Macaca mulatta: one gene and its partners. The protein of the gene in region 3 interacts with the protein of the main gene of each other region in a biochemical or structural test. Links are inferred from orthologs where the notes say so. Each region holds a gene or a part of one and is shown on either strand. Other genes may lie near its edges.

Region 1 (10,217 bases), on a different chromosome or scaffold from region 3:
AATGGTCACCTGATAGTGGTTTTAGCGGAAAGAGGGTCAGGAGAAGCTGTAGTAGCCAGAAACTGGGAGGGAGGGATGGCTCAGGAGTTCCCCCTGCTGCTTCTTTCTGGGTCCAAACCCTGGTCCTAGAAGTGTAGACAACTGAGGTGGTGGCAGGCTTGGGATTCCTGAAGCTTCTTGAAATCCAGGGTTTAATCTCACCTTTCCAATCACTGGAGCTCTGTAGAGCCTCCAACTCAGGTGGTTGTAAAGGAGGCAGGTGGAAAAGCGTTCCTAAAAGGTTTTTCACACCAAAATAGGGTTTGTCGCTCTGCTCTCTGCCAAGGGATTTCCCAGCTCCCTGGGGCCAAAGCTCCCCTCCTGCTTCTCTGCTGACTGTCACTGGAAGCAGGCCATTTTCCACCCTCAAGGTGGCTGGACTCAGGAGTCAGTGACACTGCTGATCTGGGCTCTGTGCCCTGTCTACGATCCCCCCTCCGCTGTCAGCCCGCAGGCCCCAGAAGCCTCCTGTTTGCCTCCTGCCCCCAGCCTCCTAGCCCGGGGCTGGGATGAGGGTGATTTGTGGCAGAGGGCTCCTCACAAAGGTCTGCTCAGGACTTTCTCTGCAACTGTGCTGGGGAATAAATCGCCTGTCACCTACACCCCTGCACGAGTGACTCACCTTCCAGAGAAAGTGCTCTGCTCACCTAAGCAAAGCTGCTTGGAAAATGACTAAGGCACCTATCAAATGCACTCTGTGGGGTCAACCAGTTATGGAGCAAGGTCCAGGCACACTCTGCCTCTCACCTCCAGCTTGAAGTCAAGTGCAGAGCTGCCACGCCAGGCCTGCTGGTTTCATTTTCATCTGAACCCAGCTCCACATGAGGCTTGACATCCGGTGATCTATTTTTTCTAAAAACTAGCTTCACTTTAGAAATGACTCTTCGGCCATCAAGTCAGCTTCCCCAAGAGAAAACAAAATGTTATTTAAAGGGAATGGCAGCCTGGTGAGAGCCTATATTTTTGTTTTGTATTAAGGGGAAAAAAGACTTTAAAATATAATATGAAACTGGTTTTTTTTTTTTCCCTTGTGAGATTAAAACAAATGTTTTTCTTTTAAGAGATGGGGTCTCGCTATGTTGCCCATAGCTACTTGACCTCCTGGGCTCAAGTGATCCTCCCGCCTCAGCCTCTCAAGTAGCTGGGACTACAGAAACACACACCACCATTCCAGGCTTCCTGTGAGATTTAAAGGGAAATCTGCAAGTCCCTGACTGCAGATCCTGGGCTCCCAGACACAGTCCTGGAGAGAAGCTGCCAAAGACATCTTTATGAGAGGGAAAGGACGGCGAGCTGGGGATGCCATGTGGTAGCGGGAACCTCACTCCTCAGAACCAAATGTTCCCTCCTAGTCCCCCAGACAAAGAGCAAGTCCTTGCTGACCTACATGCCATACAGTATTTTCCCTTTCCTCACCTCCAGGGTTAATGCAGGAACCTACTTGATCACATGTGGGACGCAGGAAGCCCCTAGACAGGCCCAGCTGTGTCTCCAGCTCAGAGTCAGGATTGTCAACTGGGCAGAGCCTGGACCTTTGTAGGCTTATTTGGAGTATGGTGAGGACAGTATATAGTGTAAGGCAGGGAGAACACGACAGCTGACGCTTTTAGACTGAAGAACTGTCCCCCTAAAAGTCCTACTGAGAAAATGACTCTGGCCTGTCAGGCAGTCTGACTCTTCTTGACATCATCTTACAGAAAACAGGTTTAGTCACAATGCATTAATTGGCAACTACTACTGCTACTATCACTGCTACTATTACTACTACTACTACTGCCACCACCACCAACAGTAACAACAACAGCAACAGTTACAGTCGCTGTATTCTGTGCCGGGCACTGGGCTCAGCACTTTATATATGTCCTCTCATTTTCTACTCAAAACACTCCCGTTAAGTATTTCTGATTCCATTCACAGATGAGGCACCTGATGATTAGAGAAGTGAAGTGATTTGCCTGTGGGCACACAGGCAGGCAGTGGCAGACCTCGACCTGACCCAGGTCTCTCTGACCTGACAGCCTCAGCCACCACATGTGACACGGAGACACCAAGGACTTGTTCTGTTGCTCTGGACAAATCACGGGCTCTCTGCCTTTGTTTCTACATCTGGAAAATGGGCACAAGCACACCTGTCCAGACAGCAGGCTATTCCTCTTTTAGCCTTTTATTAATTAACAATCAATATCAATTAACAATTGACTGGTACAATAAATAAATAAAGCTGCTAGCCTGGTTTCGTTATATTCAAAACTGACATGTTTTGGGGGAGGAAAATCCTTACCGTTTCATGAGCAAGTTAGTAGAAAAAGCAGTGACCTAGATGTCAGGAAAAGGGGGTTTAGATTCTGAGCAATCCTGTCTATTTCTCCTTATGAGGCTTCACTTTTCTGATCTTTGTCCCTGCCCTTCTTCACATGAGCATTGTGTGAAAATAGAAAGACTGGCTATAAAATTATTCTTGATGCCACATAATTTCAAGGGATTTCTATCAGGGAGCTGAGGGATTAAGAGATGTAGAAAAGCAAGAAGGGAAGAGGCTCCTTTAGAACACAAAGAGCACACCGGCCACTGAAGAAAAATGACTTTTTCTGCATTGTCATTCAGGCAGTCATAAGCCTAGAACGAAAAATCTCATACTTCGATGTCCCGCTCAGTTCAACAGAAATGTTCCCCTACAATTTGCCCTGGGTCTCGCCTTCCCCTTCTGGGCTACTGCTTTCAGCATTTTAGCCAGCACCACAGAGTAAATGCAAAACCTTCACACATGCATCACTTTGAATGCCCACCCAGCTCTTGCAGATGTTCCGCCCCATTCTGTTCTCTTACTAGGGAATCGTGGTGTGTGGAGACTAGAGGGGCTGACATCCTTAGAGCTCCCTAAATCCACTGACATGGAATTGTCCCTGGCCCATCAATTTCACACTGGTGCCATCAACAGTGCCCATAATGCTCAGATGTTTCCAGTTTAACTGAAATACTAAAATGGGGCAAACAGGAAGCATCAGACACAACTGCGGTAGTGACTTATTAATCACGAAAGCAGAATTTTAGTTGCATTTTAACCTTTTGCCAGGAAAAAAAAAAAAACAACCTTGAGATGATGGAAGCCATCAGTAGAAATATGCTGCCTGTATGCATATTGGGCTGACTTAGACTTTTTACTTAGGACTGACTTTGCTTTTAAGATTTCTGAACTTTCCCCCCAGAAAGCACATCTGTCAAACCAACCAATATGAATCTGTCAGCTCTTCACAGGGGCAGGCAGGCTTGTTAGGAAAGCCCATGCGCTGTCCATTGAGACAGGAAAAAAAATAGGAAGTTAAAAGTGCCTTCACAGGCCAAAGTGATACAACACTGTTCAGAGGGTGCCAACAACGAAGAAAACAACCTTGGATAAAGCTTTCATCTCTTTCACATCTCCGCAGATCTCTCACCAGACCCTGGCCAGGGATGAGCTGTTATCAATCACCAAAACAAAACAAAACAAAAATCACAACAGTGGCCTAGGGCTGGACAACCAACCAGCGCAAGTCATCTTCTCAGCAGTAAATGATATACACATATTCCAGGCAGATCACAAAGGAGTCAGTGTTCAACAGGAGAACCAAAATGAGGAACCAAACCTTCATCTGTTGAGGCGAAAAGGCCCAACCAGACATTTTTGTTTAATAGAGGGAGACTGATTTGGCAGGGTCTCTGTGGTGCCGCTCCCACAAACCCTTAACAGACAATACCAGTGACAAAAAACCCCCTTCAGAACTGCTCCTTATAATCAGAAAACACTCAGAAGATGGCCTGAAGCTTGGCAGCGTCTTGCTGTCTGATTTCACAAAGAGCTGGTACATACACCTGGGTACTTATCTCTAAAATTAGAGTCAGAGATGATTACTTTTATTTTGAGATCTTCTGAGAGTTCTCCACACCCTTCAAAATAAATGAGGATGTCCGAAAGGTGTCTGAAAAATTCAGAGGTCTGGCATCGCTCCAAAGGAACTGATTGATATCACTTAAAAAACACCAAGAGTAAATCCAAACACAAGCGAAGTAAGGCAAGCACTTTTTACCTGTCCTCTCACACTGACAGCATAAAAACCACACCAAAAACTTCTCCCTCCTGTCTGCATCTCAGTTCTATAATGTGGTCCTGATCTAGGATTCTGGGGAAGACCCATCCTTAGTCCCAGCTATGAGGCATCAGGCAAGATACATACCACTCCCACTCCCCTCATACACACCTGCCTCAGGTGCCTCACTTATAAAACAGGACACTACAATCTGTCTTACCACACAGCCATCTGAAGGAAAACAGAGCTCACAGGTATGAAAACACTAAGTAAAAAACACATCACTAATGTTAAGATACTGTCTCCTTCTAATCTTTCAGAAAGACCATGTTTCTAGTCAAGGGGTTTTCAACATTTTTCCTGGAATAAACTCCAGACTGCTATTTTATACCATGACCTTACCCTGATCATTTAATTTCACGTGCTTTTAGGGTCCTTAGTTAAGTCATTGGTGTTCATTGTCTCCAGTGATCAAGAGTAGTTTTACCATTTACTTTGCTGATGTATGTACCTTTCACCACTTATCCTCTGCCTCATTCATACCTCCAGTCTACCCTTTAGGGCCGAGAGCAACTTTTTAACCTCGACTAGGAAGGAAACACTTTTTCTGAAATTAGCCAGCATTAAGGAGGCTCCCCGGCAGGTGGGAAACTGTACAAGTGGCCCCTGTCTGCCTGGTGCCCGGTGGTTGCAAGATGCCAGGGCCACGATGGGTTTCCAAGATGGGAATATTACATCTGAACCAACAGATAAAGTCCCGAGTTGGAGAGCCTAGAAGAATTACAGAGGAGGACTGGGTTCAGAGGGCGGAGGGGGGATGCTGCGGGCGGCCAGCACTGCCCCGCTGCATGCTGAGGACAGGCTTAGCTCGTGCTCCCCGCCTTGAGGTGTGACCTGAGAACTCCCCAGGAAAGACCACGAGGGTTTCACGCCAGGGCAGATGCGAGGGCGCACTCCTGCAGGAGACACGTCCGCCCCACGCCAGGCGAGCTTCATCCTGGGGGCGCTGGGGCGCAGAGCAGGCGGGCGGGCCTGGCGGCGGCGCGGGGCCCTGGTGAAGGGGAAGCAGGGCGCCCCTGCGCGCGCTCGGAGCCAGCGTGTGGCCAGCAGGAGTGCGCGGCCTGGAGGCCCGGGGCGAGCGCGGCGCCGGCAGCGCGTGCGAGGCCGCGCCCGCGGACCGCCGCGAGTGGGTTGGACGAGGTACGTCGGACTGCGCTGGCCCGGCCGCCAACCCCACTGTTCCGGGGCGAGGGGCCAGGCCGCAGGCCAGCCCGGGGCTGAGGGGCGATCCATCCCAGCCGCTCCCTGGGCGCCTCGTTCCGGGCCCCAGGGTCCCGCCCCGTCACCTACCGGCCAAGCGCCGATCTCCCCAACCAAGCGAGTGTTGCGCTCCGCTCGCCCGCGATCTCCCGCCGCCGGCCGCCGACCGCTGAGCTCCCGGCCCGCGGTCGCCCCGCCCCGGTCCCGGGCTCCGCCCCCTCGCCTTCTCCACCGCCCCCGGGGCCACGCCTCCCCCGGCGGCTGTAACTTTGCCTCGCTTCGCACCTCCCTTCTTTGGCCGCACGGCGACCTGTGGCCCCGCCCATTTCCCCAAGCCAGCCAATGAGACGGCCGTCCCGGCAAGCCCGTCTTCCCGCTCCCTAGCAACGATTGGTTAACGAGGCCTGGTTTCCAGAAATGGGCACTATTTCCGGGCGATGTTTGTAGAGGGGAGATCGCTGGGCGGGCGGACAGAAGGCGGAGGCGACTAGGGTGTTGGTGGAACCACACATGCGCCCTCGGCTTCTGGCAGTCTTACCAGCTGCGTTCTTCTCGAGGTTACTGGAAGGAAGGGCGAGTGTGCGCATGCGTGGGCACTCCCTGCCTCTAACTTCGGTTACCTTGGCGACAGGGAGGCGCTGTCCTTCGTGGGTCGCGCGCGTCCCGCTTCCTCTCTGCTGCCAGGCGGTGGCGGCTGAGGCGGGAGGTGGTGGGGGTAGAGACGTTTTTATTGAGCTCTTATCGTGTGTTTGGTGCTGTAGAATCCCTGGAATGAATAAAGGTTACAGTGCCTGCCCTCGAGAAGCTTCGGGAGCAAAGGGCTTACAGGGGCCCGACCTGTGGGTTGAAACCCAGGTACAAAGAGAGCATGTGGGTGCGTGGCGTGGTATGACCGCTGAGCAAAGCATCTGCTTGACGAGTTTGCAGACCACAGAGCCGGCAAGAGGATGAGAGCTTGATGTATGCAAAGAAAGGACCTGGAGTTCAGAATATGCGTTGAAGTGTCAACAGTGCTTCTTTCAGAATGGGGGTCGGGGGTGGGGAGTAGGGAAGGTATGGACATTTTTTCTAACTTTTGCTCCTCTGTATCATCTAGTGTTTCCACACTGAACTTGTATTTTATTTGTAATAAATTCCAGGCCAGGCACGGTGGCTCACTCCTGTACTCCCAGCGCTTTGGGAGGCTAAGGCAGGAGGATCGCTTGAGGCCAGGAGTTGGAGAACGGCTTGGACAATATAGCGGGGACCTCGTCTCTGCAAAAAATAAAAGAATAACCGGGCTTGGTAGTTCGCACCTGCAGTCCCAGCTAGAGGGGAGGCTGAAAGTTTGAGGTTACAGTGAGCCATGATCGTGCCACTGCACTTCAGCCTGGGTGACAGAGTGAGGCAGTCTTAAAAAAAAAAAAAAAACCAAACTTGATTTATTTGCAAAATAAAAGACGTACTCCTACCCTAGGCATCCCACTTCCACGAAGGGTCCATGATAGGTGTGGTGAGTGGCTCTAGTCTGGGGATAGGCAGGCCCCACCCAAGGCTGTCTTGAAAAGTAAGGAACACTCCATCTCTGAAAGTGTTTGAGCAAAGACCACCATCTGCTTGAGACTACTTTGCAGACAGTCCAAAGCTGAAATCTTCTTTCTGGATATATCTGTGCCAAACAGTCATCTCCGCTGGGGGATAGGGAAGACCATTTATTTAGGCAGTGGTCAAAAACTCACAACCTGAGGGCCTCATCCACTCACCCAGGCCAGAAATATGCTTTGTTTGGCTGGCCCAATATTTTTTTAAATTTGAATTTGAATGCCTTAGAGCAGAGCCTACGATTCCTTACAGCTCCCGCCACTCTGTTTTTTACTCAACCATCTAACCTTGTGTCACCTGTCTGGGCCCTGGAGCATTTGAGGTTGTGGCTCCCACAGAGTCTGTGCTTTAGAGCCAAACAGTCTCTGGTGCCCACCCTGGCTCTGCCACTGACTAGCTGGGAGATGGCAGACAAAAAAGAAGCTGAACTGGTGGCCCCCAAATCTCTTTCCACCCCCAGGGTTTTGCATTTCAGTGACTCAAGGAGAGGCAGAGCTTGGCCAGATGTACAGGTTGGTATCGGCAAACTTGGATGCCCTTATTGTCTTTCCCACCACCTGTTTGCCTCTGGGCACAGCACTTCTCAGGAAAGATGTGGGCACACCTCCAGAGTCTGAGACGCTCCCTGGCTTGCCTTTGCCTTCTCTCTCTTTCACTATTCCTTCTTTAAAACACCCAGTGCCTCTGTACTTTGCCCAGATTCTCTTGACGCCTCTGGTCCTGGGTCCCCTGTACACTCCCACCTACCCTATCAAGATGATCTGTCTTTAAATTCATCCCTGAACACTAATGTGTATTAATCAGAGAGAGTGAACTGTGTTGACTCAAAACTGTTCGGCCAGGGGTGGTGGCTCACTCCTGTAATCCCAGTGCTTTGGGAGGCTGAGGCAGGCAGATCACGAGATCAGGAGATTGAGACCATCCTGGCTAACACGGTGAAACCCTGTCTCTACTGAAAATACAAAAAAATTAGCCGGGCGTGGTGGCGGGCGCCTGTAGTCCCAGCTTCTTGGGAGGTTGAGGCAGGAGAACGGCGTGAAGCCGGGAGGTGGAGCTTGCAGTGAGCGGAGATTCCGCCACTGCACTCCAGCCTGGGCGACAGAGCAAGACTCCGTCTCGAAAAAACAAACAAACAAACAAACAAACAAACAACTGTAACTCTGGAGAGGAAATGTCACATCAGGTTGCAGGAGAGGAACAAGCCACTAAACACTGGTAAGGAAGATATTCGGGATAGGCAAGGCGTCTCAGTTTCAGCTACTTTTCTGAGGTCTTTCCAAGCCCCACTGTGTGTGGGTGAGGTGAGAAACAATACACCCACCCAGAGTGAGCAGTGTGGTGTCTCTGAGTCTTGAAGTGCTTGCACCCTCTGGAAGGAGAGCTTTGGGACAAGATTATTTCCTCCCAGCCTAAGTCGAGACAACCTGGGAAAGCTTCTGGTCTTGAGTCACTTGTGCACCCTCAGCTCTGCTTTAAATACAAGAAATTGACATTTACAGGATGACTCACACCTGGAGTAGTGAACTAGGTTCTCAGTACTCAACAGTTTTCACATCCCATCCATTTCAGTTCTGGAAATAGCGTAAGACTGTGCTATTCCAAAAGAATCGCAGCTTGTTTTCTGATACTTTACAAAAAGTAAGCCCGACAGACTTAGAGTACTTCATGTGCATAACCTCACTGAATGTTCCCTCTAGGCCGGGGTTTCTCAGCCTGGCACCATAGACATTTGGGGTTGGATAATTCACTGTTGGGGGAGGGGGCTTGTATTAGTCCGTTTTCACGCTGCTGATAAAGACATAGCTGAGATGGGGTAATTTATAAAGGAAAGAGGTGTAATGGAGTGACAGTTACACGTGGCTGGGGAGGCCTCACAATCATGGCAGAAGGCAAAAGGCATGTCTTACGTGACAGCAGACAAGAGAGAATGATGAGAGCCAAGCGAAAGGGGAAACCCCTTACAAAACCATCAGATTTCATGAGACTTACGCACTACAATGACAATAGTATGGGAGAAACTGCCCCAGTGATTCAGGTATCTCCCACTGGGTCCCTCGCACAACATGGAATTGTGAGAGCTACAAGATGAGATTTTGTTTTTCTTTTTTGAGATGGAGTCTCCCTGTGTCACCCAGGCTGGAGTGCAGTGGTGCGACCTCAGGTCACTGCATCCTCCTCCTCCTAGGTTCAAGTGATTCTCGTGCCTCAGCCTCCTGAGTAGCTGGGACCATAGATGTGCACCACCATACCCGGCTAATTTTTATATTTTTAGTAGAGATGGGGTTTTGCCATGTCAGCCAGGCAGGTCTTGAACTCAAGTGATCCACCTGCCTCAACCTCCCAAAGTGCTGGAATTACAGGCATGAGCCACTGTGCCTGGTTTCAATATGAGATTTGGGTGGGGCCGTAGCCAAACCACATCAGGGCTGTCTTGTGCATTGGAGGATGTTTAAAAGCTTTCCTGGCCTCTGTCTACTACATACCCATAGCACTCCCTCATCTACCCAATGTGACAACAATAAATGTCTCTGGACATTGCTGGATGTCACCAAGGAAGCAAAATGGCCCCCAGTTGAGAACCCCTACAGTCTAACCTCATAGAATAGGTAGTATTACTGTCCCCATTTCACTGATGAGCAAACTGAAGCTCAGACAGAAGTAAGTTGCCCAGTGTCACTTTGCTGTGACAGGAGACCCAGGATTCAAACCATGTCTGCCTCCAGAGCCCCTGCCCTCCTGCATGCCGGACTCTGCAGAGAGACTTCAGGCTTCAGGGAGCCAGTTGCCCATCAGTTCTGTAGGAGAATGATGAAGAGTGAGTAAATCAGTGAAGGAATGCTATCCTTGGATCATTTTTCCTTTTCTGTTTGCCTTGGAAGAAAGGAAATTATATTCTGGTTTTTATTGCCTTAGTCAGCACGGTTTATGGTGTTGAGCCATGTCCAATGAGAAAGTGGCTGATGAGTCATCTGAATGTCTGTGGATTTCAGGCCCCAGATTACTGTGAGATTCTGAAGTCACACTTGAGAATTCAGATGTGAGGCTGAGATGAGAGATGACTGGGGACTGTGGGGTGGATGTTCCTGGAGGAGAACAGTTTTCATTTCTCTATTGGGACCGCCTAAAGTTGCAGCCACAGTGCTGTTGCTGCCCTCCCCAGCTTGAACCTGCCCCACTGCTGCTGTCAGCTGAGATCTATGGAGGGGCCAGGGAGGCAGGAGAGGAAATGGATAAATGGATGCAGGCAGAAGTGTGATCCATTCTCTCTTCCTA
Region 2 (10,214 bases), on a different chromosome or scaffold from region 3:
AAACCCCGTCTCTACTAAAAATACAAAAAATTAGCCGGGCGTGGTGGCGGGCGCCTGTAGTCCCAGCTACTCGGGAGGCTGAGGCAGGAGAATGGTGTGAACCCAGGAGGCGGAGCTTGCAGTGAGCAGAGATCGCACCACTGCACTCCAGCCTGGGCAACAGAGCGAGACTCTGTCTCAAAAAAAAAAAAAAAAAAAAATTCACCATGTCTGGCACCTAACCAAAGATTATCAGGCATGTAAAGAAGCAGGAAAATATGATCCATAATAGGAACCATCAATCAATTGAAACTGACCCAGAAATGACACAAATGTTAGAATTTGCAAACAAGAATATTAAAACAGTTCATTATGCTGGGCACGGTGGCTCACACCTGTAATCCCAGCACTTTGGGAGGCTGAGACAGATGGATCACTTGAGGTCAGGAGTTTGAGACCAACCTGGCCAACACGATGAGACCCTGTCTCTACAAAAAACACACAAAAAATTAGCCAGGCATGGTGGCACGTGCCTGTAATCCCAGCTACTCAGGAGGCTGAGGCAGGACAATCACTTGAACCGGAGAGGTGGAGCTTGCAGTGAGCCGAGATCGTGCTACTGCACTCCAGCCTGGGCGACAGAGTGAGACTCCGTCTCAAATAATAATAATAAAATAAAATAAAGTTCTTTTACTCTATGTGGAATGGCATAATTTCACTTTAAGGTAGCCCATGATAACTTAAAGTTGTAAACTATCAACCCTACAGCAGGAATCAGCAAATTTTTTCTGTAAGGAGCCAGATAACTATTTTAGTCTATAAGTCAATAGTTTCTCTTTCTGTTTTTTGTTTGTTTGTTTGTTTCTGTTTTTGTTTTGTTTTTTTGAGATGGAGTCTCGCTCTGCTGCCCAGGCTGAAGTGCAGTGGCGTGATCTTGGCTCACTGTAACCTCCGCCTCCTGGGTTCAAGCGATTCTCCTGCTTCCCAATTAGCTGGGACTACAGGCGCCTGCCACCATGCCCGGCTAATTGTTTGCATTTTTAGTAGAGACAGGGTTTCACCGTGTTAGCCAGGATGGTCTCGATCTCCTGACCTCGTGATCTGCCCGCCTCGGCCTCCCAATGTGCTGGGATTACAGGCGTCAGCCACTAAGCCCAGCAGTCATATGGTTTATTTTGACTACTCGACTCTGCTGTGTCAGTATGTAAATGAATGAGCTTGCTTGCATTCCAAAAGAACTTTATTTATGGAGCTTGAAATATGAATTTTATATATTTTCACTTGCCATATAACATTATCCTTCTTTTGATTTTTAGAAACTGTTTAAAAATGTAAAGACCATTCTTAGCTCATAACCATACAAAAGCAGATGGCTGGCTAGATTTTGCCTGGAGGCCATAGTTTGCCAACCCCCACCTTAAAGCAACCACTAACATAACAAAAAGAGGAATATCCAATAAGCAAACAAAAAAAAAAATGAAAAACACTATTCAGAAGGAGCAGGATTGAAAAAAAGTAACAAAAACTATACCCAATAAAAGGCAAAAAGGAGGAAAAAGAAAACATAGATAAATAGAATATATATAATAGAAATGGGATAAATTTACACAATCATATCAATATCAAATTAAATGTAAATGGTCTAAACACTAATTAAAAGGCAGAGACTGGCTGGGCACAGTGGTTCATCCTTGTATCCAGCGCTTTGGGAGACCAAGGTGGGAAGATTGCTTGAGCTCAAGAGTTTAAGACCACGGCTGCACACAGCGGCTCACACCTGTAATCCCAGCACTCTGAGAGGCCACAGCGGGTGGATCACCTGAGGTCAGAAGTTCGAGACCAGCCTGGCCAACATGGTGAAACTGCTGTTGCTACTAAAAATACAAAAATTAGCCAGGTGTGGTGGCACACGCCTGTAATCCCAAATTTAGGAGGCTGAGGCAGTAGAACTGCTTGAACCCCGGAGGCAGAGGTTTCAGCGAGCAGAGACAGTGCCACTACACTCTAGCCTGGGTGACAGAATGAGACCGTGTCTCAAAAAAAAAAAAAAAAAAAAAAGAGTTTGAGAACACAGGGGGACCCTGTCTCTACAAAAAAATTTAAAAGTTTGCCAGGCATGGTGGCATGTGCCTGTGGTCCTAGCTACTCAGGAGGCTGAGGTGCAAGGATCACTTGAGCCAGGAGGTCATGGCTACAGTAGGCCATGATCATGCCACTGCACTCCAGCCTGGGTGACAGAGCAAGACCTTGCCTCAAAAAAAAAAAAAGGGTAGAGATTGTTAGATTGAATAAAAAAGCAAAGGCCAGGGGTGGTGGCTCATGCCTATAATCCTAGCACTTTAGGAGGCTGAGGCAGGTGGATTGCTTGAGCCCAGGCATTCAAGATAAGCCTGGGCAACATAGCAAGATCCTGTCTCTATTAAAAAGAAAGCAAAACCCAATTATACATGGTCTACAAGAAACACCCTTTAGATATAAATAAATTACCCAGACATGGTGGAGCAAACCTGTAGTCCTAGCTACTTGGGAGGCTGGGGTAGGGGGATGGCTTGGTAGGAGTTCAAGACTGCAGTAAGCCATGATTGAGACACTGTATCCAGCCTAGGTAAGACCCTGTCAATAGGCAGGCAGGCAGGCAGGCAGGCAGGTAGGTAGGTAGATAGATAGACAGAGATAGACAGAGATAGATAGAGATAGAGAGAGAGAGAGAGAGAGAGACAGATGATAGATAGATAGACAGACAGACAGAAATACAAATATTTTTAGGCCGGGTGTGGTGGCTCACACCTGTAATCCCACCACGTTGGGAGGCCGAGGTGGGTGGATCACTTTAAGTCAGGAGTTCCAGACCAGCCTGGCCAACATGGTGAAATCCCATCTCTGCTAAAAGCACAAAAATTAGCCGGATGTGGTGGTGCATGCCTGTAATCCCTGCTACGCGGAAGGCTGAAACATGAGAATTGCTTGAACCTGGGAGGCAGAGGTTGCAGCAAGCTGAGATCATTCCACTGTACTACAGCTTTGGTGACAGAGCAAGACTCCAGTCTCAAAAAAAAAAGAAAAAGAAAAAAAATACTGAATTAGGCCGGGTGTGGTGGCTCATGCCTGTAATCCCAGCACTTTGGGAGGCCAAGGTGGGCAGATCATTTGAGGTAAGGAGTTTGAGACCAGCCTGGCCAACATGGTGAAACCCTGTCTCTACCAAAAAAATTACAAAACTTATCCGGGGGTGGTGGCACCCCCCTGTAATCCCAACTACTCGGGAGGCTGAGGCAAGAGAATCACTTGAACCCAGGAGGACAAGGTTGCAGTGAACGGAAACTGTGCCACTGCACTCCAGCCTGGGGAACAGAGTGGACTCCAACTCAAAAAAATAATAAAGCATACTGAATTAAATGAAAATAAAAACACAACATACCAGAATTTGAGAGATATTGCTAAAACAATATTGCTAAACAATAGTCAGGAGCAAATTTATAGCACTCAATACCTATACTGGAAAAGAGGAAAAAAGAAAGGTCTCAAATCAATGATCTCAACTTTCACCTTAAGAAACTACAAAAAGAAGAACAAATTAAAGCCAAAGTAAGCAGAAGAATGAACATAATAAAAGTCAGAACAGCCTGGCATGGTGGCTCATGCCTGCAATCCCAGCACTTTGGGAGGCTGAGGCAGGCAGATCACGGGGTCAGGAGTTTGAGACCAGCCTGGCCAACATGGTGAAACCCCATCTCTACTAAAAACACAAAAATTAGCCAGGCATGGTGGTGGGCACCTGTAATCCCAGCTACTGGGGAGGTTGAGGCAGGAGAATTGCTTGAACCCAGGAGATGGAGGTTGCAGTGAGTCAACATGGTGCCACTGCACTCCAGCCTGGGCGACAGAGTGAAACTCCATTTCAAAAAACAAAACAAAACAAAACAAAAAAACCGGCCGGGCGCGGTGGCTCAAGCCTGTAATCCCAGCACTTTGGGAGGCCGAGATGGCGGATCACGAGGTCAGGAGATCGAAACCATCCTGGCTAACACAGTGAAACCCTGTCTCTACTAAAAAAAAAAAAAACTAGCCAGGCGAGGTGGCGGGCACCTGTAGTCCCAGCTACTCGGGAGGCTGAGGCAGGAGAATGGCTTAAACCCGGCAGGCGGAGCTTGCAGTGAGCTGAGATCCGGCCACTGCACTCCAGCCTGGGCGACAGAGCGAGACTCTGTCTCAAAAAAAAAGCCAGGACAGAGACTAATTATATAAAAAGTAAAAAAAAAAAAAAAAAAAAAAGAAACCAAAATTAAGTAATGAAATGTAATGAAAATTAACAAGATTATAAAGCTGGTTCTTTGAAAAGATAAATATTTCTTCAGTGCCTCCTGGGTCAGGCACTGCTTGCATCACTGGGCATACAGCAGAAAACACAACAGACAAAAAACCCAGTACAGTCCCTCATCTGGGCTTTGCAACTGCAGTTCCTTCTCCCTGAAATGCTCTTATCCTGTTTATCTATTGCCTCATTTTCCTGCTTTATTTTTCTCCAAAGTACTTACTACCTCTGACTTTATTTCCTTCTCTTACTTTCTATGTTTCTTTCTTTCTGCGTGTCTTTCTTTGTTTCTTCCTGTCTTTCTGTTTCTTTCCTTCCTTGCGGTCTTATCTGTTTATTTAGTTCCACTAAAATGTATGCTCCACAAGCGCTTAAGTTTTTGTCTGTTTTCTCCACTGCCTTTATCACTAGCACCTAAAACGGAGCCTGGAATGTTGTACTGTGTAAAGAATATTTGTTTAACAGATGGATCCTTGGTCTCGTGGAGCTTACATTCTTTTTTTCTATTTTCCTTTTTTTTTTTTTTTTACTTTAATTAGGAATTCAACATAGAAGAGCTTACATTCTCTCTCTTTGAATTTAAGATTTGAAGAACACTGCTCAGATGACAGGATCTTAGAGTAAGGGACCAAGCATTAATTTTGGAAATCAAACTTTAAGGCTCAAATCAGGAACTAAGAATCAAAGATCATATTTGGAGGTTAGAAGTCAGGAGAAGCCACAGTTCTAACAAAAGTCTCAGGACTGGAGTCAGGTTTGGGTATCAGTGGATACAACGTGGATTCCAGGAGCTGAGAATCATAGTTCAGGAAAAGGTCAGAAATGATTGGGTGAGGATCATAGCTGGAAAGAAGATTGGTTTTGTTAAAAGTTAGGACTCGGGGGTTAGAGGTCAGGAAGTTCAGCATCGGAAGTCAGATTTAGGAGTGTGAGGTTAGGAAGCCTCAGGGATCAGACACTAATGGGGAATCAGATGCCGGGTCCTAAGGCTCCGTTTGGCAGCCTAAAGTTCACTCACGTGTCCCCATCCTCAGTGACGTAGCCGAAGACGAGGGGAGCCCACGACAGCCCCGGGCCCAGCTCCGCGCCCAATCCCGGTCCTCCGGGGGCCGCTGCGTCCGGACCCAGGGAGCCGAGGCCGCTGTCGCACCATTCATCTGCGTCGGCAGCTTTTCCCAAGCACGCGACCCCAGCCATGGCCCCCGCCACCTCAGGGGCCCCTCGCAGTGGCCCGCCTGTAGCTGGGCTTTGCCGGGAGTTCTGGCGCTTCCGCCCTGCGGGAAATTCCCCACCACGCCCCCTGATTCATCCAATGATAATATGCTGAATCGCTCACACCCCGCCCCCGTGCCGCATGCTGACCAATCAGAGTATTCGAGAGGACTACGACTCTCTAGCCGTTCCCACATTTTCCGGGCGCCCTTTACCAACATGGCTGCTGACGCCATGACTTCTGGGACTCGTAGTCCGGTCCTCGCGCGCTTTCTTACCTAACTGGGGCGCTCCGGGTGTCGTAGGAAAGCGCGTCTGCGGCCGCAATGTCTGCTGGGAGTTGTAGTTCAGTGCCCTATCCCGGCCACTCCCATTTCTGGTGCCGTCACGGGACAGAGCAGTCGGTGACAGGACAGAGCCGTCGGTGACGGGACACAGTGGTCGGTGACGGGACAGAGCGGTCGGTGACAGCCTCGAGGGCTTCAGCACCGCGCCCATGGCAGAGCCGGACCGTGAGTCGGGAATCCGGGTGGGAGGGTCGGGCCGCGCCGGGGCCTGATTGAAGGCTGCAGGCCCCGGGGCCCAAGGGCGGCCGCAGTGGGGCGGGAAGTAGGGAGCGCCTCGGGGAGTGGGGTTCTGAGGGTTGTTGCTAAGCGATCTATATCGCCAGGCTGGTGGGTTTCTGGGTCGCAGGGTGTTCAGGGTTCGTTTACCACATCCACTTGCCAAGTTGCCAATGATCGCGTGTTTCTCACACCTTGGTTGCTAAGGACCCTCGCTGCAAAGAACATAAGTTGCCCCGGTCCCGGCTGCTAAGGGTACCTGATTGTTAGAGGCAACCAGAGGATGCTGAGGGACCCCTGCTGTCCCCTTCTATGGCTTCCCCTTGTTCCGCGCCTCTCCTAAACCTACCGCCTCCACTGCACCACTGCACCTCCCTCCTAAACCTGCCTCCCAGCCAAAGCGTCCCTTCCCTTCTCTCTTCCTTTCTAAACTTCCCTCTGCCTTGTAAATCTAACCCTTCCCGCACACACACTGACACACTGTCGTGTCCTTCCTAACTCCTCCTGAGTGTTCCTTCATGCCCTGAATCCCTTAGGTAGGAGGAGGAGGATCGCTTGAGCCCAGGAGTTTGAGGCTGCAGTGAGCTATGATCGCACCATTGCACTCCAGCCTGGGTGACATGAGCGAGACCCTTTCTCTAAAAAGTAAAAAAGAAAGAAAGTAAGTCAGGGCCAGACACAATGGCTCATGCTTGTAACCCCAGTACTTTGAGAGGCCAAGGTGGTTGGATCGCTTGAGCCCAGGAGTTCAAGATCAGCCTGGGCAAAAGCCCCTACTTTCTCCCTCTCCTTCTAAATCTTCCTCTCCAGCCTCTCTGCCCCTCACTAATCACCTCTCCTGGCATCACTTTGCATGCTGATAAGATTTTTTCTCCGCCCCCTCCCTCCCCGTGCTCCATTTTTACCACCATCCCATCCCAGTGTAACTCGGTTGGTGGGTGTTCTGGCCCCTCACTGACCATTTGAATCCCTTTATTCCCCACTTAATCATTCTCCCCACTGTAACCACCTCTGCTCCCCTCCCTCAGCCTCTCACCCTCTGGAGACCCAGGCAGGGAAGGTGCAGGAGGCTCAGGTGAGATGGGCGAAAGGGTGGAGGGGAGGAGAGAGATGGACTTGTTCCACAGCCCGCAGGGGGGGAGGTGGCAAAGGGGAGACAGTCACCCCACGGCCCTCGGCTCATTGCCCCAATCCCTCACACCACCCAGTGCAGCTTTCTGGGGAAAGGCGGATTCTGGGGATTGTCAGAGAAGCGTTTCCAGCCTCAAGTCCAGGCCTGCCCTCCCAAACTTTCCTCCTTCCTCGCCACTGCCTGCCATCCCTTCTGAACCAAATTTGTCCTGGGCCTGGAAGAGACAGGTATCCCATTTGGTCTTGGAACGCACAGATCTCGTGGACAAGTGATGGGAAAAAATTATCTCACAGTGTGATGATAAAAGTAACTCAGGGGGCCAGGTGCAGTGGCTTATGCCCGTAATTCCAATAACTCAGGAGGCTGAGGCGTGAGGATCGCTTGAGCCCAGGAGTTTGAGGCTGCAGTGAGCTATGATTGCATCGTTGCACTCCAGGGTAAAACAGCAAGACCCTTTCTCTAAAAAGTAAAAAAGAAAGAAAGTAACTCAGGCCAGACACAGTGGCTCATGCTTGTAATACCAGTACTTTGGGAGGCTGAGGTAGGAGGATCGCTTGAGCCTAGAAGTTCCAGACCAGTCTGGGCAACGTAGGGAGGCCCCAAAAAATCTAAAAGTTAGCCATGTGCAGTGGTACATGCCTGTAGTGCCAGCTACTCATGAGGCTGAGTTGGGGAAGGATTGCTTAAGCCCAGGAGTTTAAGGCCGTAGCATGCCATGATTGTGCCACTGCTCTCCAGCCTGGGCGACAGAGCAAGACACGGTCTCAAAAAAAAAAAAAAAAAAAAAAAAAGGAAGAAAAGTAAAGAAACTCAGGGCACTGTGGGAGCACAGAGAAAAACTTTCTGGGTCAAAGAAGATTCCAGCCAGGCCATTCCCTGGAGGAATCCACAGGCTGGTCTAGCTGTCAGACCAAGATACAGACACAGTATAAGTGAAGAGTGACTTAGAATTTTCTTAGACAAGGTGAGAAAAGGTGATCCACACGACAGGTATCGCTTGTGCAAAGACCTGGGGGCATGAAGGAGTGTGATGTGTTCCGTAACTGGGTGGCTGGTAGGGGTCAGCTCGTTATAGTCACGGTTAACATTTACTGATGGCTTACTCCAGCTGTGCACACTGTTTAGTGCCAAACTTGCCTCATCTCACTTCATCTTCCTGGCATCCCTGTGAAGAGAAATGCCTATCATGGCCATTTTACAGAGGCAGAATTTGAAACAGAGGTGTTAAGTCACTTGTCCCCTGTCCCTCGGCTAGAGGAGCAGGGAAAGGTTTGAGTCCCCCAGCACTGGGCACACCGCCTGCCAGAGGCTGCCAGGAGAGGTGGACAGGCAGTCTCACAGGAGTTTGAAGGCCCCCCATCAGCACCTCCAGCTCTCCCTTAGGCCAAGCTGCCGATACATGCTGGGCACAGGCCTTCCACACAGCCTCACTCTGTACAGCCTGCAAGAGTGCCAGCCCACCCACACCCCCAAGATTGCCTGTCAGACGTGGGGTGGTGCAGAAGCGGGCATCAGAATACCTCACAAATGCACAGTGGAGCCTTGCTGAGGATATAAGAGCCTCCTGTTAGGCTGTGGCAACTCACTCGCCTGGCCCCCAAAGCACGACCAACGTCAGATAAAAAGGTTGAATGTTAAAAAGGATCCTCAGTCCCAAAGAGAGAGATGCGAGGATGTAAAATGCAGCATTGTCCGTCACAGGGCAAAACTGGAGACAGTCCAAATGGCTGTTAGTGGATGGGTTAAATGAACTATGGTTCATCCATACAATCCAATACTATGTAGCTGCTCTGAAAAATGAGGTGAGGCTGGGCACGGTGGCTCACACCTGTAATCCCAGCACTTTGGGAGGCAGGAGGATCACTTGAGCCCAGGAGTTCGAGACCAGCCTGGGCGACATAGCAAAATGCCGTCTCTTTTTTAAAAATTATCTTTAAAATTAGGTAGGTCTGTAGCATATCGTTCTGCAGAAAACTCAAGATGTTGTACTATGACCTATTTCTGTAGAAATAATTAGTTTTATGCAGAGGAAACTGGAGTAATTACCATTAAGCTTAGCTAACAGTGGTTATCTTTATAAGGGTGGGCTTGGGTAATTACAAGGCATGTGCCCCAAGTCATATGTTGTTGAAGTACGCGCGAGTGTGGTCAAGGTTTTTGCAGAGGTTGTCCAATCTCTCTCTCTCTCTCTCTCTCTCTCTCTCATTTTCACTCTCTTTTTTCTCTCTCTCTTTTTTTGAGACGGAGTCTCACTCTGTCACCAGGCTGGAGTGCAGTGGCGCCATCTTGGCTTACTTCAACCTCCGCCTCCCGGGTTCAAGCAATTGTCCTGCCTCAGCCTCCTGAGTAACTGGGACTACAGGCGCCTGCCACCACGCCTGGCTAATTTTTTGTATTTTAGTAGAGATGGGGTTTCACCGTGTTGGCCAGGATGGTCTCGATCTCCTGACCTCGTGATCCACCCGCCTCAGCCTCCCAAAGTGCTGGGATTACAGGCCTGAGCCACCACGCTCGGCCTCTCTCTCTCTTTTTAGATAGAGACAAAGTCTCACTGTGTTGCTCAGGCTGGTCTTGAACTCCTGGCCTCAAGCAATCTTCCTGCCTCAGCCTCCCAAAGTGTTGGGATTACAGGCATGAGCCACCACGCCCATCTGGAGTTGCACAGTCTTAAAAAGCAATTTTTTAAATTGTCATATGTTTGGAAAGGAGGGTCTTATTCAAAAAGGCTTGGACGCAGAGCAGTGAGTGGCCGGGGAAGGGGTTGTCTGAGGTGGTGGCTTGGTCAGAACTGCATTTTGGTGAAATCTCTTGCAGGGCCCAGCCGTGGTCCAGCCTGAAGCAGGCATTCATTCCGAGGTGGAGGAGCTCCTGGAGCTCCTGCCAGGAGCCAGACCCTGTTCTCAGTGCTGGGCACCCAGGCAAAGTCCCTGCCCTTGTGGACATCCTGGCAATTCCATAGATGTCCGGGAAAACTGGAGAAGCCAGAGAGAAGGGCCTTTCAAGTGGAGCGGGGCGA
Region 3 (9,722 bases):
GAAACTTAGGATGAAAAATCCTATAATGGACATCTACTTTTACACAGGATATTAGGATATGTCATCATGGCATCCCACTACCAAAGCTCCAGGCCAGAAGGGAGCAAAAGAAAAAAGAGGAAATACAACCTAAATTTATCTTTTTGTTCACTAATATTTAATGAGTACCTACTATTGGTAGGTACATACTGTTGGTACATAATATTAAATGTGTTGTGGTGGTAGTAGTGGGTATACAAACTGAGTACCTGATGATCCTTGCCCTCCAAACAGTTATAGTCAAACAGAAGGTATTAAGATATACTAAGAGAACTAAAGTACCAGGCAAAATGTGATAGGTGTTATAATCAGCGTAAAGTATCATACACTTGGCAGTAGGAAGCGGGCACTTCATAAAGGAGGCACTACTTGAGCTAAACTTTGAAATGAAAGAAAGACTGAAATGGGAAAGGACTGAAAAATAAGTTCCTTTAGGCAGAAAACAAGGCGAGCAGAAGCAGAAAAGTAGAAAGGGATGGGCATAATCAGACAATACAGTTAATCCAGTTCAAATGTACCTAAAATGATGCTCTCTCGGGGTATTAGTAAGAGGTAAGTCCGGAAGTATAAATTGATATGAAACCAAGATAGGTTCTGAGTACCAATGAAAGGGTCTGAACTTTATTCAATAAGTGAAAGAGAACTATGCAAGCCTTTCTAAATTGAGAACCTGGCAAGCTCAAAATTATTAAGATATTCAAAAGATAACTTTATAAAATAATTGGATATATCGATTGAAGAGAAAGGAAGAGCCAAGACAGCCAAAGTTTCCCATCTGGGTAACTGAAAAGGTGACAGTGCAAATAAGAGGTGTAGGAAATCTACAGAGGTAGATTTAATGGGGCCAGGTGCAGTGGCTCATGCCTGTAATCCCAGCACTTTGGAAGGCCAAGGTGGGAAGATCACCTGAGGTCAGGGTGTCAAGACCAGCCTGGCCAACATGGTGAAACCCCATCTCTACTAAAAATATAAAAATCAGCCAGACATGGCGGCGGGCGCCTGTAATCCCAGCTACTCAGGAGGCTGAGGCAGGAGAATCGCTTGAACCCAGGAGGTGTAGGTTGCAGTGAGCTGAGATCGTGAGACACAGTGAGGCTCTATCTCAAAAACAAACAAAAAAAAAGAAGTAAATTTAATGGATAGAACAAATATGTTCAGTTTTTAATAAATTAAGTCTTAAGTGCTAGTGGAACAACCAGATAGTTATACAGTTATACGACAGTTATAAGTCCTTGGTGGAAACGTCTAAGCTATGGAGAGAAATAACTTTAGGAGTTATCCATGTGCAGTTTATAGGTAAAGCTATACAGCTGAAGAAACTGCCTAATAAAAAAAAGGAAATGTAATGGAAAAAGAACCAAGAAGAGACTCAGAATACAGTTACATTTAGGGGCATGAAAGAGGAGGCAAAGAAAAAAATAATTAAATGTTGCTGTTTCACCATTATTTTTAGTGGTAGGTTCAGTACACTTTTTCCAACTCTTCAACATATTTAAAGATTTTCATAATAAACAGTTGAAAAATATGCATACAATCAGACTTGCTAAGCTGTTTTTTCAAAAGGGAAATAGTAACTGTTTTGTTGCTTCCTTTTTTAAGTGAAAATCAAACAGACATCATTCCTTTCTTGTACAATACATATAAACATTTTAGGAAAATGTTCTACAGTAACACCAAGCTGTTTTGTAGTTCATACTTCTGTACTTTTGCTCATGATGCTCTGCTGCCTATAAATCTATCCCACCCCCACCCTTTTCCTAAAAAATCTCATTCTTCAAAATTCAGTCTTATTATCATGTCTAACAAGCATCCTTGAAGTTTCTTGAACTACTATAACTAGTACCTTATATATACCTTATTCTGTATAACCTCATAATAATATTGGTTCTTTGAGGAAGATATTACTGTCCTTGAGATAGACAGACAACATTTGCTCAGGTTCACAGACAGGTAAATAGTGGTGCTGCAAACTGAATTTAAGTCTGTAAACTACAAACTCCATAATGTGGAATCTTTCCCCATGCCCTATAACAAGAGGCTCACAGATGCCCTTCAAAGCAGAAATGATGCTATAATTCCTATGATGAGTATGAAACAAATAAGAGATGTGATTCATTCACAACCGAAATGTTTCAGAGGCAACATAGAACTAAAGCCCTGCTTTCCTAACGCACTAAGGGATAATTTATTCTTTGGCACAGTAGAAAGAAACCAAATCAAGAAGAAGCTAGGTATCTTTTCAGTGTTAGCCAAGAATGACATCCACATGGCCTCAAGTTTCTATTTAATAAAGTATGCCAAGATCGGGCACGGTGGCTCACATCTGTAATCCCAGCACTTTGGGAAGTCAACGTAGGAGGATCACTTGAGGCCAGGAGTTCAAAACCAGCCTGGACAACACAGCGAGACCCCATTTCTACCAAAAATTTAAAAATTAGGCAGGAGAGCTGGCGCACACCTGCAGTCCCATTTACTCTGGAGGCTGAGGCAGGAGGATCACGTGAGTTCAGGAGTTCCAGACTAAAGTGAACTATCTCGCCATGTACTCCAACATTAAATGATTATAATTTCTCATTTCAATTTTAGAAACCTGTATACTATAAACTATCAATAAAAATGTGAAGACTATTATGAGAGTTGTTTCTGGGTACACTGCCCAACAGAACTATCTATAGCTCTCATTCATATCAATAAATAATTTACTAAGAACCTGATACATGCCCTGCTCTGTACTGACTGCCATGGTTAGGATGGGTAGGGTGGGTGGTTGTTAATAAAAGTAGTAAAACAATCCCAACATTGAAGAAGAAAACAATCTATATGAAGATGCATGAATGGAAGATGAGAAATAGAGAATATAACCTTTAAATGACAAATTGTGTGGCAGAGACCATTTAAAGAAAAGTTCTTGAAGACATGCCAGTGTAGGTGAGGAGATAGAAATGGATATCATACTAGGCAGAAGGATAGCATCTGTCAAAGCATAAAGGTAGATAATGGGTTTGAGGTATAAGGAGCAGTGACAAGCTGGTCTTGTATGAGGTAAAGGTTAAGAGAGGCAGGTACAAGGCAAAACTTGGTTAGGGAAAGCCCCCTAAAAAAGCCAAGCAGATCAGTTTACACTTGACTTGTGAAAAAAAAAAAAAAAAAAAAAAAAAGAAGAACTATGTTAGTTTCTTGGGCAGAAGAATAAAAAAGCATTTTCAGAAGATGAGATAGGTAGTACATATTGAATTAACTATAGGTTAGGGAGTAAGTGCAGAACCATGAAAGGCAGATAGGAACCTTCCTTACCAAATCAAATCCAGTATGACTAGACATAAATGAATGAGGATAATGGCAACAACATGGGAAAAGGTAAATTAAAAAGTTGCTTCAAAGGAGTAATCAACAAAGACCACAGAGAAGCAAACTGAGACAGCTTGCTAAAGAAATTTTTTTTAAAAATCAGCTCTAAGAATATAATTTTCTTTTTTCAAATACGCATCAGCGCTGGACGCAGTGGCTCACGCCTGTAATCCCACTTTGGAAGGCCAAGGCGGGCGGATCACCTGAAGTCAGGAGTTCAAGACCAGCCTGGACAAGGTGGTGAAACCCTATCTCTACTAAATATACAAAAATTAGCTGGGTGTGGTGGCATGCACCTGTAGTCCCAGCTACTTGGGAGGCTGAGGCAAAAGAATTGCTTGAACCTGGGAGGTGAAAGTTGCAGTGGGCTTAAAACGTGCCACCGCACTCCAGCCTAGGTGACAGAGCGAGACCCTGTCTCAAAATAAATAAATAAGTAAGCAACAGGAAAAGATTATTAAACTATATTTATGCTAACTTTCCAAATAAACTTGTTAATTTCAATGCTGGTCTTATGCAGTAGACCCATTAAGACTAACCTTCAAATTCAAAATGTGATCCATTAGTACAAAACATCTTGGCTGCTTCAAAGTAAGGTCAACAGGTCCTCCTCTCTGCTGAGGGTCCCAATTCAACATCAACTGTAGCCAGTTTTCCATGGGTTCTACTATTAAACTAGAAAACATACAAAATAGGGTGAAAAGCAAATCATTATGTTCCAATTTCCCTTTATACTGTTAGAAAGGTAATTTTGTAGGTTGTCCACTTTCTTTCCCACATCACTTGTCTATACCATTTCATAACTTACTTTCAAATTCATGAAATGACAGGGAACAAACTTTTTTCCATCAAAAACTACTCAAAACTCCACGTTAGTTACTGACAACTCCAACGGATGAGTCCAAATCCATTCTGCAAAGAACCCATTTCCTTCATTATCCGAAGAACCTTCTTAGGACCTATGTCAATCAGTTAAATGGCAGTTCTTGTTTCCACTAGATCTGTGCTGTCCGATATGGTAGCCACTAGTCAGTCCCAAATGGCTATTTACATTTAGTATTTATTCAAAATTCAGTTACCTAAACAAACTAGCTACCCGTCAAGGAGTCAATAGCCTCATGTGGCGAACAGAGATACAGAAGGTTTCTACATCATCACAGAAAGTTCTACTGGATAATGCAACTTGAAACAGAAAACTACTCTACTGTTCCTTTACAACCCTGGAGAAACTGAGGCAAACTTCCTTAACTAAAATATACTTACCTACAAAGGCTATTTGGTTGAGGTAAATGGCTACTAAACCGAACTTCTCCTGACATCTCTTCACATGCAAATATACACTTTGGATCCTTCTTCTTAATCTTCTCATGCCTATAAAATCAAAAGCTACCTCAGCTGACAAAGTGATTCTCACAAATACTCTTAAGATTTCTTGCCATTTAATTATATTCAATTGTATATTTCAAAGGCAATTAAACAAAGAAAAAAAAAAAGCAGACAAATGAAAATATTTCCATTCCCATTAAGCATGCCCAAGTTCTCATCCATTTCTTACCAGGTAAATGGCTGCAGATGATGCAAAAAAGGCCTATATCCAGCAATACATTCAAATACCATGGTCCCAAAGCTCCAATAATCAACAGTGGCTGTGTAAGGCTTATTCTCAAAGAGCTCTGGGGCCTTCAAAAGAGAAAATGTTTTAAACACCAACACTGTATGGGAAAAACTACTTTATTTTTGAACTACTATATTCATGATCTTCAGAAATAAGAGAATCCTACACACATTTAAATTCAAAGAAACAATACAGGCCTCACCAGATACTGCAGTGTTCCCACAAAAGATGTACACAGACTTCCTTGATCAACATCTTTGGCATATCCCAGATCAATTATTTTATGTATTATCTGAAAAATAATAAGACAGATTAAGTATTAAATGGTAGAGAAATTTAAAAAGGAAAGACAACAATATCCTTATAAGGCTATAGAGAGGGTGGTGGTGAGGAGCTTAGGCTCTGTAATATCACAAAAATATTTCAAGTCTGAGTGCCACCACTTAACTAGGTGTGTGATCTACCAAGTTATTTAACCTCTCTCAGTAATCTAATTGGACGACTAACAGTCCCTACCTCACAGAATTGTTATTAGGATCCAATGAAATAATGAAAGTAAAGAAGGTAATACAGTGCTTGGTACACGATAAAAATTAAATACAGGTGGGCTATTAATTTTTATTTTGCTATATTCAAAATAAGCTCGATCCATTAAACTGGAAAGTAAAGGCAAGGCTGACTTCCAAACTTGAAGAAGCATCATACCCCCTTAGAGTGGATTAAATGTGAGTAAATACTGAGATCTAACTTCAAGAATGTCCTGAAGTCTTTGGATAAAAAAAAAAAAAAAAAAAAAAAAGCAGAGATATTTGGTGCCAAGCATACACGAAAGGCTCCTAAGAGAAGAAGCATCACGAAGGTTCCAACACCCCCACGAGACCAACAACTATCTTCACTACCTGAAAAGACAGCACACACAACTCAACCCAAGGCGCAGACTCTTGGCTTTTAAGTCTTTACTGGAATGAAATTTGGACGCTGGAAACAAGAAAACTGCTTAAAAGTTACTAATTAAATGAACATTTTAAGAGTCAATTCACAATTTCTGGTTCTTCTCCAGATAACTCATCTAAATTGGGGGAAGGAAAATAAGTTTTAAAAATATACATACTTTCTTTTTTTCTTAAAGTGAACCCAGGATGTGTGTGTATGTGTTTTGGATGTGCTTCATAAGAATAAAATAGTAAGTGTTAACATATTATGTATTCACTGCCAGTATCTTTGCTAGATACTATGCTGGAAAAACAGACATGAACAAGACAGGTGAAGTCTAGGAGCTGCGTTAAGTATGAAAAAAAAGAAAAAGAAAAAGAAAAAGAAAAAAAAGACAGGTGCAGTTCCTTCTTTAATGGAACCACTGTTTAGCAGAAGGGACAAAAAACTAAACACAAAACTACAGTTCAGTGTGGTAAGGTCTGAAATGGAAAAAGTAAGAGTGTTACGGGCATACAGCAAAGACACCAAAGCTCAAGGACTAACTATATCAGACAGACTATATTCAATAGGCATGAAACATTACTTCAGGTTTCACCTACCTTTCCACCAACGTCCTGAAGAACTATGTTTTCAGGTTTTAGATCTCGATGTATAATTTTGTTTTCATGCAAATATCGAATCCCAGACCCTAAATAAAGTTTAAAATACACTTTGAAGTAACAGAAAGCATTGAGTTAAAAGAAAAATTCACCTCACATTTTGTACAAATCTGCTCTGATGCTCAAGTTTATATGGATCATCGTAACTACACAACTAATATTACAGTAGTTCAGGTTTTCTTCACAGAAAAACGTAACATTAAGCAAATACTACAAAATTATACTATATGTTCATCTAACTCATTAGAATTAACATTAAATAGAAATGCAACAAGCAATTGGGAAAATCCCTGTAATTCTAATAAGCCCCCTTCTCCCACCTAAATCAACCATTTAAATTGGACTTTAGCTCTCATGACCTTGGAAAAGAGGCAAAACCAAAATCTACGCGGAAACAAATTTTTGGTTTTTGAGGTTCCTCCAAAAGGTTAGGTACTGGTTATTTTAGGAATTTTTCTGGAGTCATTCTGATTAAGCAGAGATTTTTCACCCCAAGAGTTGACTTGGCCGGGCGCGGTGGCTCACGCTTGCAATCCCAGCACTTTGGGAGGCCGAGGCGGGCGGATCATGAGGTCAGGAGTTTGAGACTAGCCAGGCCAACACAGTGAAACCCAGTCTCTGTTAAAAATACAAAAATTAGCCAGGCATGGTGGCGGGCGCCTGTAATCCCAGCTACTCAGGAGGCTGAGGCAGGAGAATCACTTGAACCTGGGAGGCAGAGCTTGCAGTGAGCTGAGATCGTACCACTGCACTCTAGCCTGGGTGACAGGGCTAGACTCCGTCTCAAAACAAACAAAAAAGAGTTGATTTGAGGACCCATCTCTCAAGGAGATGCAATTCCACTGTAAAAAAAATTACTATGTCAATGGTGTGGGAGGAGTGAAATTGAGTAAGGTCATTTTGCATGATTTTTTTGTCAGCTATTGGAACACCTATTAGATTAAAAAAGGACTCCTAGCCAAAAATAAATAAAATATCCTAGTTTGTGTGTGTGTGTGTGTGTGTGTGTGTGTGTGTGTGTGTGTGTGACAAAAGTCTCACTCTGTTGCCCAAGCCGGAGTGCAGTGGCCCAATCTCGGCTCACTGCAACCTCCACCTCCTGGGTTCAAGCAATTCTCCTGCCTCAGCCTCCCGAGTAGCTGCGACTACAGGCATGTGGCATCATGCCCAGCTAATTTTTCTATTTTTCTTTTTATTTTTTTGAGACGGAGTCTCGCTCTGTCGCCTAGGCTGGAGTGCAGTGGCGTGATCTCGGCTCATTGCAAGCTCTGCCTCCTGGGTTCACGCCATTCTCCTGCCTCAGCCTCCCAAATAGCTGGGACTACAGGCGCCCGCAACACACCCAGCTAATTTTTTGGATTTTTTAGTAGAGACGGGGTTTCACTGTGTTAGCCAGGATGGTGTCGATCTCCTGACCTTGTGATCTGCCCGCCTTGGCCTCCCAAAGTGCTGGGATTACAGGCATTTTGTATTTTTAGTAGAGATGGAGTTTCACTATGTTGGCCAGGCTGGTCTTGGACTCCTGACCTCGTGATCCGCCCACCTCAGCCTCCCAAAGTGCTGGGATTACAGGCGTGAGCCACCGCACCCTAGGATATAAAAATATCCTGGTTTTAATTTAGCATCAACAGTAATAGATTTATATGATAACTTCTTATAGATGCTGAAATTCTATAGACTTTGTACAGTGTATCAACAATTCTCCTGAATTCCCAAAAAGGTACAGAATCTTTTATGGACCAAAGGGGCATTACATCACAATGGTATTTTAATACTGATTACATACCTATATCACTTAGTAAAGAAAGTATCTGGCTTTCTTTAAGTCCACAACAATTTTCTGGTTTGTTGAGCAGCTAAAAAAAGAAAGAAATCTAAAAATGTGTTCTGGAAATTGCTGGGCTGTAATAGTGACCACACATTAATTACTATACTCTAAGAGAATATTCAATGAGAAAGTAAGTCATAATAAAATACAAGGGAATACAATTACCAAATCCATACTGACGGCATGTAAATTTCATGATAAGGCTCATAAAAGTAAAAAGAAGCAAAAAGCACTTGAAACTGGAAAAGGCTGACAAATCTCAGGGATATATATATAAATGGTCATATGGGCACATTTAAAATTAGGTAAAAAAGAAAGATTGCAATACAGAAAACAACTTTTTACAAGCACCTTAACCACTGAAAATTTCATCTAATACCACTGCTATAGTCCCATCAAACAGCAACAACAAAAATGCATTTTCTAAATCAGGAGTCAACAAACATTTTCTGTAAGGAACCATATGGTAAATACTTTAGGTTTTGCAAGTCACATAGCCTCTGTTAAACTACTCAATTCTGCAGTCATAAGAAAGCAGCCACAGACAATGTGTAAAGAAATGAATGTGGCTGTGTTCCAATAAAACTATTTACAAAACAGGAAGCAGACCATAGTTTTTCCGATTCTTATTCTAGTTTATTATATTTAATATGATTCAAATAATGCTAAAGTTTGTGATTTACTATCTCTCATCTCAAAACATCCACACTACCTTTCGGAGATCTCCTCCAGAACAGTATTCCATTGCTAGAAGAGGCACATCATGAATCAAAATATTCAATTCTTCAGGAACATCACAGGCCTTTACAACGTTGGCATGGTTCAACCTAATAAGAAAGAAAAACATTACAATAAAAAATTTATTTCCAATAAAAAGGGACTGGATTTGAAATGCTACTTAATTGCAGGTGGATGAACAGAGGGGGAAAGATCGGTATTATTTATAATACTCTAATTTCTGATTTGTATAATTAAAAATTAGAATTTTTTAAAAGAAAACATACATAAAAATACCATCACTATTACTACTATTACATTTCTAAGTGCCAAGCAGTAAGCATTTTAAATATATTAACTCAATTACTTGTCACAATAATCCTAATATAGGTAGATTTATTAATACTTTCACCACACAGGAGAAAATTGAAGCACAAATTGGCTAAGTAACACAGTCAGTAGGTAGTCAAGTAAGGATTCAAATCTGGCGTTTTAGGCTGGATGCAGTTGCAACTGTAATCCCAACAATTCGGGAGGCTGAGGTGGGAGGATTGCTTGAGGCCAGGAGTTTGAGATCAGC

The links. The genes of interacting proteins can lie anywhere in the genome.
Region 1: of the proteins of CHUK (region 3) and MAP3K14, one has a biochemical effect on the other in vitro, tested with the Homo sapiens proteins (5 studies listed by BioGRID and IntAct, with this or other methods). The link is inferred for Macaca mulatta from reciprocal best matches to the Homo sapiens genes CHUK and MAP3K14.
Region 2: of the proteins of CHUK (region 3) and NFKBIB, one has a biochemical effect on the other in vitro, tested with the Homo sapiens proteins (2 studies listed by BioGRID). The link is inferred for Macaca mulatta from reciprocal best matches to the Homo sapiens genes CHUK and NFKBIB.

The regions. Positions count from the first base shown.
Region 1 is NC_133421.1:69,686,207-69,696,423, forward strand, and holds the start of MAP3K14 (mitogen-activated protein kinase kinase kinase 14), read right to left. Parts: upstream 5,538-10,217; 5' UTR 5,454-5,537; intron 1-5,453.
Region 2 is NC_133424.1:49,991,014-50,001,227, reverse strand, and holds the start of NFKBIB (NF-kappa-B inhibitor beta), read right to left. Parts: upstream 5,538-10,214; 5' UTR 5,489-5,537; coding exon 5,310-5,488; intron 1-5,309. Other genes in the region: SIRT2 (NAD-dependent protein deacetylase sirtuin-2), read left to right, coding at 6,000-6,015, 7,095-7,141. UniProt on the Homo sapiens protein: Inhibits NF-kappa-B by complexing with and trapping it in the cytoplasm.
Region 3 is NC_133414.1:112,264,386-112,274,107, forward strand, and holds part of CHUK (inhibitor of nuclear factor kappa-B kinase subunit alpha), read right to left. Parts: intron 9,253-9,722; coding exon 9,138-9,252; intron 8,454-9,137; coding exon 8,384-8,453; intron 6,627-8,383; coding exon 6,538-6,626; intron 5,295-6,537; coding exon 5,205-5,294; intron 5,068-5,204; coding exon 4,943-5,067; intron 4,759-4,942; coding exon 4,651-4,758; intron 4,063-4,650; coding exon 3,927-4,062; intron 1-3,926.